Linked DNA regions of Diceros bicornis minor. The protein of the gene in region 2 purifies or fractionates together with the protein of the main gene of each other region. This does not show direct contact. Links are inferred from orthologs where the notes say so. Each region holds a gene or a part of one and is shown on either strand. Other genes may lie near its edges.

Region 1 (8,053 bases), on a different chromosome or scaffold from region 2:
CAGGAGCACCCTAATGATTTCAAAAGCTACAAGAAAAAAGAGGTTAAGATTTCATCAAGAATATTATGAGACTCAAAACCAGCACCCATTTAATATTTTCAATAACAAAACTTTTTAAACTTGCATATTTTGAGGATTAGAGCTAACCATGTGTGTGATCATCAAGCACAAGGATTTTAAGAAATATTATTTTAAATACGTTATCTCAGTAACTATGCCCGTTTTTGCATACCCCCTTCTCAATCCTTCTCTACACACAGACAGTTTATGGAGTAGAAGCAGCTTTGAATTCTCGATGTTTTTAATTTTCTAATAGGCAATTTTCCAAGTTGCTCCAAAATCCTCATATTTATTAGGTTTAAATGGTTACAAAAATGGAGATCATGGGGCCGGCCTGGTGGCGTAGTGGTTAAGTTCCTGTGCTCCACTTCAGCAGCTGGGGTTTCACAGGTAGGATCCCGGGCACGGACCTACACACCACTCATCAAGTCATGCTGTGGCCGCATCCCACATACAAAATAGAGGAAGATGAGCACAGATGTTAGCTCAGGGACAATCTTCCTCAAGTAAAAAAAAAAAAAAAAAAATGGAGATCATACTATCCATCTTCAGGGATGTCAGGTGCTGAGGGAAGGTTAGTAACCTCCCAACTCCACGTGGTGGGGCCTGCATCAGGTCACCTGTCAGGTACGTTCCTAAGGCAGGTATTTCTAAGTGGGAAAAGCCTACACATCTCCAAGCAAGCAAGGCAAGCACAAGCCGTGTGCCAAAAGAAGGAAGAGGGCTTCCTTTTGTGTCCACACTCCTTTCCCCTTCTCCAGATCTCAGCACCTTCCTGGAGTCACTCCCGTGTTCCCACAGCACCTTGGAAATCCTCCTGTCTCAGAATGTAGACCCTTAGGCTGCAACTGCCTATCTCCTTGACATCTTCAATAGAGGTCAGCTCCACCTCCACTGGGCCAGGATGGGAGGTGGCACCAAAAAGGCCTTAAGATATGTTTGCTCAGGGAATGACCAGATACACGAATAAATGAATGAATGAACATGCAAAGCTGCTGCTTGTTAGTTGAAAAGAAATACTAATTAAAGTAAATTTTTTAGAAGTAGGAAAGGAAAGTATGGTGTCTAAACCCAGCAACACATCAGTCACAGAAGGAGCTGGAACGCAGCCTTGCCCTGTCATTCCCGAGCCCATACATGGGGTCCTCCACCATCACAAAGTAGGAGGCAAGACATCTACAAGACACTAATAACAGAATGAAGTGGGTTTTAAAATTAACTGCCCCCAGACTCCTTTCTGACAGAAACGATATTTGGTTCTCCAGCACCCAGCTTCTAATCGAAGCTCAGCAAATGTTCTTTCAAGGATGAAAAGGTATCCGTGTGTACACTCTCTGGTGCTCCAATCCTCTATTTAATGGGGAAGCAACTCAGCTGAGAGAATTCTGTGAGATAATACACTTCCGTCAGCAACATGGTGCTGACCAACCACTTCATAGGCACTTTCATTATCCCCATTTAACAGATGAGGAAACTGAGGCTCAGGGGTTATGCCACTTATCAAGTCCACAGAGCCAGGCTCCAAACCTGCACCTTCAAGTCTTCACCAAGTAATCACAGCTGAAAAAGCAGAGGCCAAGTCAGTGGTGGCAACCACGTGTAGGTCCAACACACCCTTTCTATGCCCTTCAATGTGCTGGGCTCTGCTCCAGGCGGGGTGAGTCAGAAGCTGAGCGGGAAGTGGGGCACTGGTGCAGAGGAGAGCTACAGCAAGTGGCCAAGAATCGAGCTGAGGGCTGTGGGGTGCCAGGTGCAGAACCTATCCCCCACCTGGGAGGGGGTTCCTCCACTGAGCCCCAGGGGAGAAGTGGCAGAGGACCTGGGGGTTGTCTGGGGCTTTGTCATTTCCTGGAGTAAAACTTCCTGAATCAAAAGTCACAACAGGGTCTGACAAGTGCCTAACCAGAAAACTCCTGGGACTCCGAGCAGCCCTGGGAAATCGTGACCTGAGGAAGACAGACCCTGTGCCAGGTACCCTGACCACTGCCCAGGGATCAGATGTCTCCTCGCTGAGAGGAACTCTGGGGAAAGCCAGCAATGAGTGCTTCTCGGGTCTACATCCTCAGCCTGAGAAGGCAAACACCATCTCAAGACGGGTGTAGGGTTGTCTGGGCTGCATGAATCCAGGCAGGGGTCAAGACAGGACCCCCTTTGTCCTCCCTGACTCCCAGACTGGCTGAAAAGCCCAGAACTCAGGTCCCAGGCGCACAGGTGTAAGACTGGGACCCGGAGCCCACAGACCTGGTTCCAGGTTCGACTCTGCCACTTATTCTCTGGGGGAATAGGTAAAATGGAGACCACAGTTCCTGCCGTGGCCCCAGGGGCTGCTGGCACAGAGTGGTCTTGATACACATCAGTTTCTCTTCCCCTCACCTTCAACCCCAGCTGCCCCAAACTCCTCACGTGGAACAGGAAGACAGGTCTCTGAAACTAAACCGAGCTGGGGCCCGGAAGCCAGGTGGTGGGGGACAAAAGGGCCCCCTCCCCCACAGCACCCTTCTCAGGGCAGGGGAGAGGACTTGGGGTGTTCTGTGCTTCCCCAAACGTTGAGAATCGCCAAATCTGAACCAAAATAGGTTTGAACGACAAGTGTCTTTCAGGCTTTGGCCTCCTGCTCACTGCGACTTGGAGCATCAGTTTCCCTCTCCAGGGGTCGCCTCCCTCCCCGGTAAAGGCCCTTCTAGCTGACACCGCCATTCCACCCCCACCCCGCAATTAGGCGGGAGACAAAATGACATCATGCAGGGCTTGGCCCGGGTCCCAGGAGACCCGCCCGCCCCGGCTCCGAGGCCCAGCAGGCCCGGGGAGCAGAGCGAGGGGTCCCCAAGAGGCCCCCGTCTTCGCGAGCGCCCCCTGCCTCAGGCGACCCAGGGCTCAGCATTTCCCGCAGAACTCGTCCCCCCGGCCCCGCTCGGAGGGACCATGGGGGGGGGGGCAGGAATCGGGGTGGAGGGGGATGGAGTCTGCGGAGGGGGAGGGGCCCTCAGCCGCCCGGCCCCGCTCACCCGCGCGTCCGCCGAGACATCCCCCCGGCCCGGGCCGCGCCGCGCTCGCCCGCCTGCCGGCTGAGCCCGGAGCGGGAGCCGGGCCGGGGTCAGGGCGCGCGCTGCTCCGGCCGCTCCGGGCCCCGGGGCCGCGCTGGGAGGCGTCAGCGTGTCCGCAGGTCCCGCCGCCTCTCGCAGGAGCTGCAGCCGCCGCCGGCGCGCACAGAAGCACTTTTCTATCTCCCGCCAAGCGCGTCGGCGCCGCCCGGGCCTGGCGCGCGGGCGGGCGGGCTGCGCGGGGCGGGGCCTGCGGGGCGGGGCGGGGCCTGCGGGCCGGCAGACGGGCGCCGCGCCGGCCCAGAGCCCTGAAGCCCGGGGCGGGGAGAGCCAGGGGTGCGACGGGGCACTGGGAGAGGCGGCTCTGAGCTGGCCACCGGGTGACTGAGGCCCGGCCCAGGCCCAGTGTGGATCCGGGGCGGCCCTGGAGTAGCCCCACACGGCAAAGGCTGAGGAAAGGGAGTGAGGGGCAAGGATGGGAGAGTCAGGCCGGGGAAACCGCCTGCGCAAAAACCTCAGCACTAGTCCAAGCCGCTCTTCGTCCCTACGGCCCCCACCCTAAAGCGGCCCCCTCACCCCTACGCCTCCCTGCTTCCTCTGCAGCCTCGAATTCAATGGCTCCACAGCCCCCACCCTAAAGCGGATCCCTCACCCCTACCGTCTCCCTGCTTCCTCTGCAGCGTGGAATTCAATGGCTCCCGCTCCTCAGGTCCACTCCTGGCAACCCGAAGGAGCCTTATAAAATGCAAACCTGAGCTTGCCTCTCCAGACTTAAAACTTCTCTCCTCTCCCTCAGGGTAAAAGACTCCATAATCAGGTTGATAGGATTCTGCCAGATCACCACCCCGCCCTTAGCCAAAGGAAACTGGCTAGCTTCTGTTGCCTTTGCTTGGGCCATTACCTGGGCCAGGAACACTTCCCGCCCATCCCTCCCAATTATCCCTGGGGTCCACTGCCCGCAATCTGCTTGTTGACTTGTGCGTTTCCGCCTTTGAACTATGGGCAGGCTGAGGTCCAAGTGGCCCCTCAATTCACTGCAGTATCCCCAGGGCCCAGAATTCAACAGCTGAGTTGAATTCAGTTTGCCACATACTTAAACTCCTAGAGACTTGGCAAAGATTTTCCATTCTTTTTTTTTTTTTTTTTGGTGAGGAAGATCAGCCCTCAGCTAACATCTGATGCCAATCCTCCTCTTTTTTGGTGAGGAAGACTGGCCCTGGGCTAACATCCGTGCCCATCTTCCTCCATATTTATATGGGAGGCCGCCACAGCAGGGCTTGACAAGCAGTATGTCGGTGTGCGCCTGGGTTCTGAACCTGCGAACCCTAGGCCGATGCAAGGGAGCGTGCACGCCTAACTGCTGCGTCACCGGGCAGCCCCGGATTCTCCATTCTAAGTTGCCATTTACCAAGCACCTCCGGAGTGTCATGCCACACCAGGCTCCCTGGGCGGAGTGCTGAGACAAGGTGAATGAACTATGAGACAGGAGCCTGGAGAGACCTGGCTGAACTCCAGCCTCTTAGGCCCTGCTTATGCCTTAGATCCCTCTTCCAGAAACTGCTGGCCACCTGGGACAGTCCAGCCAGCTGCTGCAAACTTCATTTACCACAGCAGAAGGAATACTGACATCTTAAGTGCTAGAAGCTTCCACATCAATTAATTCAGGGCTTCCCCCACCTACTTCTCTCATAAAGTAATTCATGTGGACATTCTGTCTTCATTGTCAGAGCATAATATTTAAGAGTGCAGGCTCTGAAGCCAGACTTCCTGGGGTTTTATGCCCAGCTCCATCATTTACTAGTTGTGTGATCTTAGGCAAATTCCTTAACTCCTCTGTTCCTCAGTTTCCTCATCTGTAAAAATGAGATTTATCAAAAACTTAGATAGCTTTCACTATATTCCAGCCACTGTTCTGTATGCTCTGTAAACTTTATTTCATTTAATTCTCATAACAACCCTATGACGTAGTATTAATATTATCCTCTTTTGGCAGATGGGGAAACAGACACAGGCCTCCCCCACAGGTCACACTGCTAGTACTGTCAATGGCAAAGCAAGGATTCAAACCTGGGCTGTCTAGTTCTAGAGTCTATGTTCTTAATCACTATACTGGTACCTACTTTGTAGAATGGTTGTGGGATTAAATAAATTAATATGTGTAAACCACTGAGAACAATCCCTGGCACATAATAAGTATGATATTACTTTTAGTTATTATTATTATTATTATTATTATGACTCTTCACCTGCCCTAATGCTTCTCCTTTGAGGTCCAGGAAGCTGCTTTGCACACAGCACACACTCTCACATGGATTATTTGTCCCATTTCAGGAGGGAGACAGGACCTGGCAGCTCCAGCAAGGCATTTGCCCAAGGCAAGAGGCAGGGAGCAGCTGGAGAGTCTCCCTGGAACCTGGAACTGGGGCCAGTTGAGCAATACACTAGAGTCTAAAAAGCCTGGAGTCAGTGCTCCGAGTCAAGGAGCAGGGAGATCACCCTGGTGCCAGATAGAATCTGGTAATCTCCACAAGTGTGTCTTCTCCAGTTATCATCATACCAACAGACAGCCCCTAGAGAGAGGATTCCAAGTGTCCTGGGTGCAGCCACAGGTGGGAGTGGTCCCTGGGCCCAGGACCGATAACATACAGACTGCACTCTACTGGGAAACTTCCTGGACATGCCCTCCTCAGACAGGGAGGCTCTAGTCCTCTGGTCATTCCATAATCTGCCCCACTCCAGGCTCCACACTCAGGGCAAGATAGGATCTGACTTGGGGAGACAGGATCAAATCTACTTATTAAATGCTCAGGGCCCAGCACTAGGCTGGACACAAAACAAACACTGATTGACGACAAGCAATTGACAACTAGGATCATGTGGCCCTTCTGCTTGGCGTCTTCCCCTCTACCTACTGAGCACCTTCCTTATCAACCTTGTCCTCCCACCATACTTCCCTCCACCCACAATTTTATTGTTCTCTCAAGAACAGGGACAGCCCCACATTCACAGTCTTAGCTTCATATCTTTACCATAATGTTTGGCTCCTTGTAGGTACTCACGGAAGAGGTTTTAAACATTTTTTAATTGAATGAATTAAATATTATAAAGCTAACATTTGGGCTGGAGTTAGGAAGGCACAGACTAGAACTGAAAGGACTTAGATTGCTCGAGTTTGAACTGTATCTTGTAAGATGTGAAACATCAAAAGGGATTTTTAAACAAAAGAATGTTTTTCAGACACTTCTGCCCCACTCCCAAGGGCATCAGTGTAGAGGACAGAGTCATGGCCACAGGCATGAGAGTCCAAGCACCACAACTGGACATGGGACACTGTCTACAACAGGGGGGATCCCAATGCAGGGAAAGCAATTCGGTTACCTGATTCAAGGAATCAGACCTCTACAGAGAAATTTCCCCACCCACTTCTCAAAAGATTGAGATTTTATGAATAACTCTTTGCAAAGGACCTATCTTTGAGTTCCAGAAAAGGATCAGCAAAGTATCCAGATCAGAAAATAATAATAGCTGGATTTTCCTGGGGAAGACACCATATGCCAGGCACCATACTAAGAGCTTCACATTCCTTTTGCATTTAATGCTCATCTGTATGTGAGGCAGGTACCAATAGGTTCCCCATTTGAAAGATAAGAAAACTGAGGCACCAAGATGTTAAGTTACCATGATCACACAGCCAGTGGACTGGTAGCTTGAAGCAAAGCACCCATAATTTAAAATGTAAATTTGGAGAGTACTGTTTGTGAAAATACGCTGAAATGATCGAAGCTGGGCTCAAGCCTGGGGCTAGTCATGAGATGATCCAACCATCCATACTCTCCAGAAGCTCCTCAGCTGATAGGGGAGACAATGAGTAAACAGAAAATCAGCTCAATACAGGTGAAGGTAAACTACAGGGGTTGTGGATGCCCAACCAGCGGGGTCACTAAATGTTCTTCAGAGCTGGGTGATTTAGGAATTTGCAAGGTGGCCAATGTGGGGAATGGCAGTTGAGGCAGAGGGAATAGCCAATGCATGTCAGGGAGAAGGAATATAAGAAGTACTCAGGGACTGGCCAGAGATGAAGAGGTCATTCTTGACTCTTCTCTCACATTACTTATCTGATCCATCTGCAAATCTTATTGGCTCTGCTCTCAAACTCTACCTTCAAAATATATCCAACGGCAAAAGCACATGAAAAGAAGCTCAATACCATGTCATTAGGAAAATGCAAAATAAAACCATGAGATTTACACACCTACTAGAAAGGCTAAAATTGAAAAGACTAATCATATCAAATGTTGGTGAAGATGAGGAGCAATCAGAATTCTCAAATACTCCTGGTGGAAATGCAAAATTGTACAACCACTTTGGAAACAGTTCAGCAGTTTCTTAAAAATTTAACATATATACCTACCATGTGACCCAAGCCATTCCAAGAAAAATGAATGCATATGTCCGCACAGAGAGTTTTACATAGCTTTATTTGTAATGGCCCAAACTGGAAACAACCCAAATGTCCATCAATAGGAGACTGGATAAAGAAATTATAGATATAAAACAAATATATCCATACAGTGGAATACTACTCAGCAATATAAAGGAATTATTGACACAATATGAATCTCAATCATGTTGAAAGAAGCCAGACAAAGAGTATATACTGTATGATTCCGTTTATACACAATCCTAGAAACTGGAAATCAATCTATAGCGGGAGAGCCAATCTAAAGTGACAATGGTTGTGAAAAACGGATTACAAAGAGACAAGAAACTTTTGGGGAGTGATGGTTATGTTCCATTTGCATGACTCTAGGGTTCCCTCTTCAATCACTGGGAGAAGTGTGGGGTCACTGATCACAGGACAGGGCAATCAACCTTGCCTAGGTCTGTCCCGGCTCACGCCAGCCCCAGCTGTGTCCTCACTTATGCAATTGCAAAGGGTGAGAAGTGTCCTA
Region 2 (8,815 bases):
TGATGCTGCAGGAGCCCAGTCCATCAGAGCTCATCTTTCCAAGCCACTGGATGTTGGTCAAGCTGTTGTCGAGAGTGCAGCCTGCTGCCTCACCGCCAGCTAGAGGGGAGACAATCCAAGATGCCACTTAGCTGCCTGATCTGAGGCCCGGCAGGCACATCAAAATTGGTGGTTGGGGATCACCTCTCCAATACCTTTACCCTTAGGGGAAAAGAACACATGCTGAATCTGTTGCAGCCCTCGGGTATTCTGCCCCATTATGGAATTCAGGAAAAATTCAGGAGCATAGTTCCAGTTGCCTTTCAATCTGAGCCACACTAAACCCTAGAGATCAGTCAAGGCTACCTTACAAAAGAGTTACTATCTGCACAAGGAAATTCACTTTTCCTCCTCATGCTTCAGTTTTCTCCTTTATTAAGATGGAGAAAGACTCCTACTTCCTTATTTGGTCAATGGGAAGGATAAATAGAAACAATAAACAAATCCTTTTCCAATATAAAGAAGGCAATAGAAATGCTAAATTACAATTGCAACCCTTTGGACAGCGCCCAAAGGGTCTGGGTCAAGGTTTCAGGATGAAGAAAGACAAGCCTTTCCCTAGTCCAGGCTAGACGCCTGTCTGTTGTAAGTAGCAACCTGACGGACTGCAGTCCTTGCCACTGGAGAGGAAAGGCTGGGTTCCTCACCCCTTTGCCCGCCAGACCACATACCACAGCTCTCCCATCTCTGCCCAGGAAGGGCTCCAGGTGGTCTAGGAAGATTCACATCCCTAGCTGCAGGCTTTGGTCCCAGGGTGTTGGTGATCACTTTTGTCCTGTTGGGATCATTGCTGGTTTGGGCTTGAGGCTGGGGTCCTGGGGGGTGAGTGGGGGCTCCCCCACAGCTGATGAGGATGAATTTGTTGGGCCCACTGCTGCCACTCTCTTTTCCTTTGGCCGTCAATGCTGTGATGATGCTCTGGATATTGGCATTGTTGGGGACGGCCACCACTTGGGTGTCGGGCATGGTGGGGTGGTTAATAATCTTGATCCCAGCCGGAAACTTGCAAGAGTTGGACTCTGCCACCTCCTTGGAGGCCTGCGCTTGACCAGGCTCTTGTTGGGCAGGGGCCTTCTTAGGCTCAGCTTCTGATGTTTCACCTGGGGCATTTTGAACAGGAAGGGGCAGCCTCCGTCTTTTGAGAATCAGTGGCCGACGGGGGCTAGTTTTCATTATGAATCTGTGCTTTCACTCTCCATTGAGAATCATAAACACAGACCCTAGGAAGTGCAAGGAGAAGCAGGATGTCAGAGATTTGTTAGGCTGAGAAGAAGCTTCTGTTAAAGAGAGATGCATTCCTCTACCTATGAGCAGAAGCATGAGCCCACAGGCCCAGGTGAATGCTCCCTGGGACACCTCAGACAAAAAGGAGATGAGTTCTACTGACAAAAGAAAGCTAAAATTGAAGCCAACAGAAGCAATTCAAAGGGGGAAAGTGGGATTGGGTTGGATATAGGTCAACACAGCCAAAGGTCTTCTGGAAGCTTCAGAATGTTTGGCTACGGAAACAAGTGGGACAGTTACAAAAATGTAGAAATCTCTATTATTGCCTACTATAATACGGGTCACTTGCAGTGGCTGTAGGGGCAGGAATGCTGGAATAGGAGGACGTTTGGTAATTAGGAGTCCTGACAAAACTCCGATCCCATAATCCATTCTAGGACAGAGCCTTCCTATTTTTAAATCATCTCAGTTTATAAATAAAAGGGTCAGTGCCCGTAGAGTGAGAGGAGAAAGGCAGATTGTGCTATTGCACTGGTGCCACACCGCTGAAGAAATCATCTCCCGGTTCACAAGACCCCAGATGAACGGGAAACTGCTCTTGTCAAGGCCCATGGTAAAGTGGGCAGATTGTGTACTGCATAATGCTAAGGGGTGCCATTCATTTCACATTTTGCTATTATCCTTGCATTGATTCAAAAAAAGTACATTTTTCTTTCACAATTTGCAAAATACTTATATAGTGACATTTTAGTACTTGCCTGTCCTTATTCATATTTTAACTTTCTAAGTACGTTAGTTACTGTAGTACTTAATTTCTCTTCCAGAGCCAAGACTATAATCCCTATCTCCTGACTAGTAGAATGTGCTAGCACCAATATGCTATTAATGCGGTTTTGTAATGTTCAGGAAAATAGTTTTAGCTTTAAAAAAATTGTGCTTTATTGATTTTAATAGGTACATGAAATACTCTACCACTATGTAAAATTGTGTAATCCCATTTAGAGGTACTTTGACAGAGGAATGAGCTGTCTCTTTTTTAGGACATCTGCCATCTCCCCAAAAATGACTGTCACACTCATATGGCACTTGCCATCTGCTTAGAGTTCACAGGCCCTCCCCACTCTGCCTCCTCCCTTTCCTTTACATCTAGGTTTCCTCTACCTTCAAATCTCAGTTTTATTTGCACTTCATATCTCTTCAGGCCTCCCTCCCTTCCTCCATCAATCAGTAGACACTATTATTCCCTCCCCACCCCCAAAAGATATCTTCCTGGTCCACGGCTTAATTTTCCCCTCCACTCTCCGTGCAGCCTCTTTCCTATCATTGCCAACACTTTATCTAGCCCAGGAGACTTCCAGAGTGACTCCTCTGACCCCACCCCCATCCTGACCAGGGAAACTTTGCAGGATTCTCAAGAACCAGGAGAAGGGCCCTGTAAAAGGGTGGAGCGGAGGCAGTGTTGCATAGTGGTGAGAGCACCTGGGAGCAGGGGAGTGTGTGGGCAGGTTTGTCTTTGATTTAATGCAGAATAAGCTCAATCTTCAACCTAGCCACAGTCTGCCAACCCAGCCCTCCCGAGGCTGCGGGCAGGGTGCAGAGGTCAAACTTCCAGGGAGGGCCAAGGGGTGCTTTGGGAAAGAAGTGAGGACAAGGCTGGGAGGCTAGATGCAGAAAAAATTTGCACCCTCGCTCAGAACCTCCTTCCCGTGTGGCCCCAAGACCTCCACTCCTGCCCCGCGCCCTGCTGCTAGACCCCCTGACCTCGGCGCCCGAGACCTTGCTCCCTGCCTCCGCCAAGGCCCGGCCTCGACTCCGTGCCTCCGCGCCGGCTCACCTCCCGACTGCAGCCGCCGCCGCCGCTGGGCTATGGCTCCTAGGGTGGGTCCGGGCTCCTCCAACCTGGGGCCGCGCCGGGGCCCCGGACAAGACTCGTGCCGGGCCCGCCGGGTCCCCGGCGGTGCGGGCGGGGTGGGGAACCCCGGGGGATCCCGGGAGGGGAGGGGTCCCGGGCCGGGGGCCGGGGGTGGGGTCGGGCACCGGAGCTTTCAGTTTGTTCCGCTGTTTGAAATTGGCGCCGGCGGAGCGTTGCGGTCACGTGACGGAGCGTCGCCAATCGGTGCCGGCCCTTGTCTCCGCGTTCCGGGCTCGAACGCGGCGCGGCCGGGCGGAGCGGCGGGGCGCCCCGGCGGGTAAGGGGCCGGGTGAGGCGGCCGGCACGAGGGCGGGCGCGGCCGGGGCGCCGGGACGGCGCCGGCGGGGCTCCCGCGGCGGGGCGGCGGGGCGGCGGGGACCCGCGGCCGGCGGCGTGCTGCTCCCTCCCGGGCTCCGTCGCCGCCCGGGTCGCCTCAGGCGACGCCGCTCTCCGCCCCCTCGGCGTCTCCCCACCTCCCTCAAGTCTACCGTGGGCGATTCCTCACTGGGAGCTTTTCTCCGTTGACCTCCGACTGACGATCGTGTGGGCCCCCGACTACTCGGAGGGTTCTTTGAGGGCAGCTTATACTCTTGTTCACATTCCCTCCGTCTTAAAAAATTACGCCACTCCCTGAACCCTGCCTCGGCTCCGAGTCTGCACGCACTGACCTGCCCCCTCCCCCAGCCAGGCTTTTAGGCGTAACGAAGCGCTGTGTTGATTGACGTACTCACGGATTTTGCCGAGCGCCTACTGTGTGCCGGCCCCGCTGGGATGCAATGGCGAGGAGGTTCTTTCTCCTGAGCCTACGGTCTGATGGGAGGAGAGGAGACAGACGTTTTCACAGAATCAGATGAGCAAATGGAGAATTATAGCTGTGGCGTGATAAGCTAGAGGTCAGAGATAACTTTTTGGTAGGTCGGGAGAGACTTTTCTGATGAACTAAAGCTTGGTCTGAGATCGGACGCCGTTATGCAAAGAAGGGAGGGAAACTCGCAAAGCAAAGGGAATAGCGTGTGCAAACGCTGGTGGCAGGAGGAAGCTGGTGTGTACAAAGGCTGAAGAATAGCTGAGGGGGTTGAGCTAAGAGACCTGAATGGTGTGACATGAAGCTAGATCCAGAGGAAGCACGACCTTAGCCATAACTGAGGGGTTTGGTCCTTATTCAAAATTCAAAAATTTTAAGCAGAAGTGAGTCAAGATCAGATTTGCAGGCGAAAGGTCCCTCTGCAGGGGGTGCCAGAGTGGATTAGGGTAGACCAGTTAGGCTACTGCAAAACTCCGGGCTAGAACTGTTGGAACTTGAGGGGTGGCGAAGAGGGAGGCCGGCAGAGGTAGAGAGAGAGGGAAGAACGGGGCGTTACTGAAGACGTTTAAGAGGGAATATGGACAGGGCTTGGTGTTGAGTTGGATGGGAGAGGGGGAAGGGAAATGTCAAGGTTTCTGGCTACATAACTGGATGAATGATGATACCATTCCCTGAGCAAGGGCCCTGGAAGATGATCACTTTTGTGGAGGGCATGCAGGGGAAATGATCATGAATTCAGCTTTAAACATGTTGAGCTGGAGGTGCACTTGAGACATCTAGTTGCTGTCAAGTAGGCAGTGGGATATATGTGTCCTGAGTTTGGAGAATTCTAAGCTGAGTATATAAATACTTAAGTCACCTACTTCTAGGTGGTTATTGAAATGTGAGCAGATGATTGCTTAAGAAAGGTGTATAGAGTGAGGAAGGCTCCAAAGCACAGCCAGAAGGAAAGGCCTTAGATAGCAAAAGGGACTGACTTCTAATGACAGCAGAAAGAAAGCGGATGGGTGCAGGATACATGTAGGTTTGTATGTTTGATTTCTGGAAAATGAGAAAATTTCCTTTGATGTCTCCTGCATTCTTTGTGAAGTAGAAGTAAGGTCGTTTGTTGAGAGAGAAGGGGAATTCTAAAGTTTTAAGAAAGTGGAAAAGTTATAAGATAATCTTTGTGGAAAATGAGTTGATAAGGAAACATGGTAGGATTGCTGAACAAGGCAGTGTCCATCTGAGGCTGGTTAATTTCAGCACTTCTGCTGTAACCATTGCTACACTGTCTGTCTCCACTGGGCTCCTGCAGCAGCCTTCTAACAGGTTCCCTGCTTCCTTTCTCCATCCCCCTCTCCCCAACCCACCTTTTCTCACAAAGCGCCTAGAGTGATCTTTTAACAGTATAAATCAGGTTACGTCACTTCCGTGTCCAGAATCTTTCAGTGGCTTCCTATCACACTAAGAATAATTAAATCCAGGGTCCTAAACCTTGCCTATAAAGCCCTGTGTCGCATGGACTGGTTCTCATCTCCTACCACTCTCCAGTTCAGCCAAGCTGACCTTACTGTTTCTTGAACAAGTCAGACATCTTCCCACCTTGTGGTCTTTGCACTTACTATTCTCCCAGCCTGGAATATTCTTCTCTCACATCTTTCTGTTGTTCCTTGTTCTCCTTTCTTCATTCAGGTCTTTGCTCAACTATCACTTTTTTCAGATGACAACTCTGTCTGAAACAGCACTCAGCTCCTTATCCTGTTTGATTTTTCTCTGTTCCTCTTCTCACTTCCCAACTAGCATGTGAGCGCCATGAGGGCAGGGATTTAGTTTTGTTGTCTGGTGTATATTTCCAACACCTGGAAGAGTGCCTAGTGCACAGTAGGCACTCAGTAAATATTTGTTGAATGAATGAATGAACAAATAGATATATTTATTACCTGTGTTCTCCCTAAAAATGTTAGTTCCTTGAGGGTGGAGACTTTGTCCTTTTTTTCTTTACCTGTATCTCCACTGCCTAGGGACCTAAGTCAGAGTATGTTACTTTTTTGTTATTGACTGAATGAATGAATCATGAACATATAGTGGAACCAGTCTGCCCTGCTGTGTGGCTTTCCAGGATGCTCAGCTGCGCTTCCCACTTAGCTCTCTGTGTACTGAATTCAGGCTCCTGTCCCACTATTCCATTGACGAAGCTCTTACTAAAGTTGATCGGGTTACTAGATTCAATGGACACTTGTTCAGACTTTTTATCACTTTGTGGGTCCTGTTGACCCTGCCTCTGTCTCCAGCCTCCCATCTCCACTGACAACCCAGGTTTAGGCCCCATCATTTCTCACTTAGGTAACACAGTTACCTCCTGAAACTGGTCCTCCTACTTCCAGGGTGCTTGTTCTCTCCTTTCACACTGTTGCCAGGACAATCTGTCTAAAAGACAAACACAAACAAAAAACCATTTATGATACAATTGAAAATTTGAACACTTCTGGATATTTAATAATATTAAGGTATATATATGTATATGTATTAGTTGTGTTAATGGGAATGATATAATGACTGGGAATATCATATTTTCTTCAAAACAATATAGGGGTGGGGAAGTGGATAGGGGTTTGGAGGGGTCAGGATTGGCCATGGGTTGATGGTTCTTGGAGCTAGGTGATAGGTACATGGGGGTTCATTATATTATTCAGTCCACTTTGGTGTGTGTTCAAAATTATCTAGGTTGAAAAATTTTTAAAAATCCAAGTGTGATCATATCCTTCTGCTTGAAAGTCTTCAGTGACTACTTAGGCTAAAGCCCAAACCATATAGCACACCTGGTTTTTCTGACCTGACCCTGACACCATGTCCAGCCTCAATTCTTGCCATTTGTCTTTTCGTATCCTGTGTCCAGCTGCATGGAGTCTGTGATTCCCTGAATTCACAGTGTTCCTTCCTGTCTCTGTGCCTTTGTATGTGCTGCTCCTCAGCCTGGATGCTCTCCCTGCCTTTTGGCTTTCCCTAGCTCTTCCATACCCAGGTCAGGTATCACCCTCTCTAGAAAGCCTCCCCTGGGGTGAGTGGAAGCATTCTTCCCATTGTTGTAATTGTCTGTCTCCCTCTGCTAGACTCTCAGCTCTTTGAAGACAGGGACAGTCTGACCTCTGTGTTTCTACAAGTGGTTGGCACTCAATAAATGATCGTAGAATAAATGGTTATTCATCTTTAACTTCCCGACACCCAGCATGGTGCTTAACACTTGCTCGATAAATGTCCATTGAGCGAATGCTGTTGAATGTGAACCACTGTGTTTTTACTCGCTGTATATAGGAAGCTGTGCTCCCCACAGTCTTGAGGTAGGGGTGGTAGTTGAGAGTAGAACTCGCTGGCAGGGTATGAGAAAAAGCTGGGGAATCGTCAGAATTACTTTCTCCCAGCTTTTGTTTCTTCTCTGCAGGCATGGGTTGGAATTGGAGCCACTCCCCCGACCTGACTACAACCAGCATCATGTGGTTACTAACTGCTCTTCATTCACTTCTTGATGCCTCCCAGAAAAAAACGCCGCCCAAGTTGCCAGAAAGCCCAGCTGCTATTCCACCATCAGCCACTGGAGAGCCCCAAACACCGCTATGGATCTCCACAGCTTCCCATCACCTACACTAGGCAGGTGCCCAGCAAGCCCATTGACCACAACACCGTCACTTCCTGGGTAGGCCATGGATTCTTACTGTGACCTTTACTCTGTTAGGTTTCTCACAATGCTGACTCTTCTGCCCCTTGAACCAGGGCCTCCAAAGAATAAGAAGATTCATGGGGGCAGGGACAAGGAGATAATATACTCTTTCTGTCATCGTCAGCCATCTTCTCTGGTATATCTTCTTTTCTAAGTTCAAACTGAGGCATGGTGTGGTTGGAATTGGAGTCTCCCGCCACATTCCTCTGAGAGAGTTCAGTATCAAAGTTTCACCTCCCACTAGCTGGGCGAGAAAGCCAGATAAGTGGCAGAACAAGTACAAAATGGGATTGTTCCCTGAGCTTCACGTGAGAGGTAAAGTATTTGGGTAGGTACTCTATTTACTGTTTAATAGTCTGAACCTTGAAAAAGAGCCACAGAAATGGCATATGTCATATTTTGTTAAAAGCCCTGGAGAGAGAACATAGCTCCTATAAGTCAGGGAAGTAGAATAGCAAAAGAGCCAGACAAAAGCATAAACTCTGCCTAAGAGTGCTTAATAAATGTAACTTGTCGGGGTTGCTTGGAAAAGCCATAATATTTGCTTCAGGATTGTAGAAGAGACTTAAATGTTAGAATCCTGGGGATGAGAAGAGGAATGAAATTTGTTGAGAATTCATTATGTGCTAGATCCTATGCTAGTTATTTTGCATACGCGGTCTCACTCCCTATTCTTGCATTCAGCCATTCATTCATTACTGGGTCCTTTCCTGTGTCAGGCACTCTGCTAGGTGCTGGGGATCAATGGTGAATAAGGCTGGTCGCTGCCCTCAAAGTTTAAAGATAGTTAAGTTGCAGCCATATGGTGTGATAAAGTGAAAGAGGCATTGTCCCCTTTCTTACACATGAGGAAACTGAAAGCCAGAGAGATTAAATAACTTGCCCAAAGCTCATATCCTTATCTATCTATCACATTAGACAGGTGTTTTTGTTTTGTGTCCATTACTATAGTAGGCCCCCATTTGGGATTCTGGACGTTGGGTGTAGTTTCCTTCCTGAGGTTTGTACTTGGTAGTTGGCTCTCCTCAGCTTTTTTTTTTTTTTTTTTTTTTTCATCCTTAGGTATCACCTCAGTTTGATACAACAGCAGAAAACTCGTTCCCAGCCAACCGGAAACGTCGTCGCAGAGACCAGGCAA

The links.
Region 1: the proteins of FOXM1 (region 2) and MYBL2 purify together in Homo sapiens (affinity purification with western blotting; 3 studies listed by BioGRID and IntAct, with this or other methods). This does not show direct contact. The link is inferred for Diceros bicornis minor from reciprocal best matches to the Homo sapiens genes FOXM1 and MYBL2.

The regions. Positions count from the first base shown.
Region 1 is NC_080758.1:17,298,704-17,306,756, forward strand, and holds the start of MYBL2 (myb-related protein B), read right to left. Parts: upstream 3,267-8,053; 5' UTR 3,086-3,266; coding exon 3,066-3,085; intron 1-3,065. UniProt on the Homo sapiens protein: Transcription factor involved in the regulation of cell survival, proliferation, and differentiation. Transactivates the expression of the CLU gene.
Region 2 is NC_080756.1:58,504,631-58,513,445, reverse strand, and holds the start of FOXM1 (forkhead box protein M1), read right to left. Parts: upstream 3,253-8,815; 5' UTR 3,098-3,252; intron 1,260-3,097; 5' UTR 1,213-1,259; coding exon 711-1,212; intron 100-710; coding exon 1-99. Other genes in the region: RHNO1 (RAD9, HUS1, RAD1-interacting nuclear orphan protein 1), read left to right, coding at 7,486-7,653, 8,740-8,815. UniProt on the Homo sapiens protein: Transcription factor regulating the expression of cell cycle genes essential for DNA replication and mitosis. Plays a role in the control of cell proliferation. Also plays a role in DNA break repair, participating in the DNA damage checkpoint response.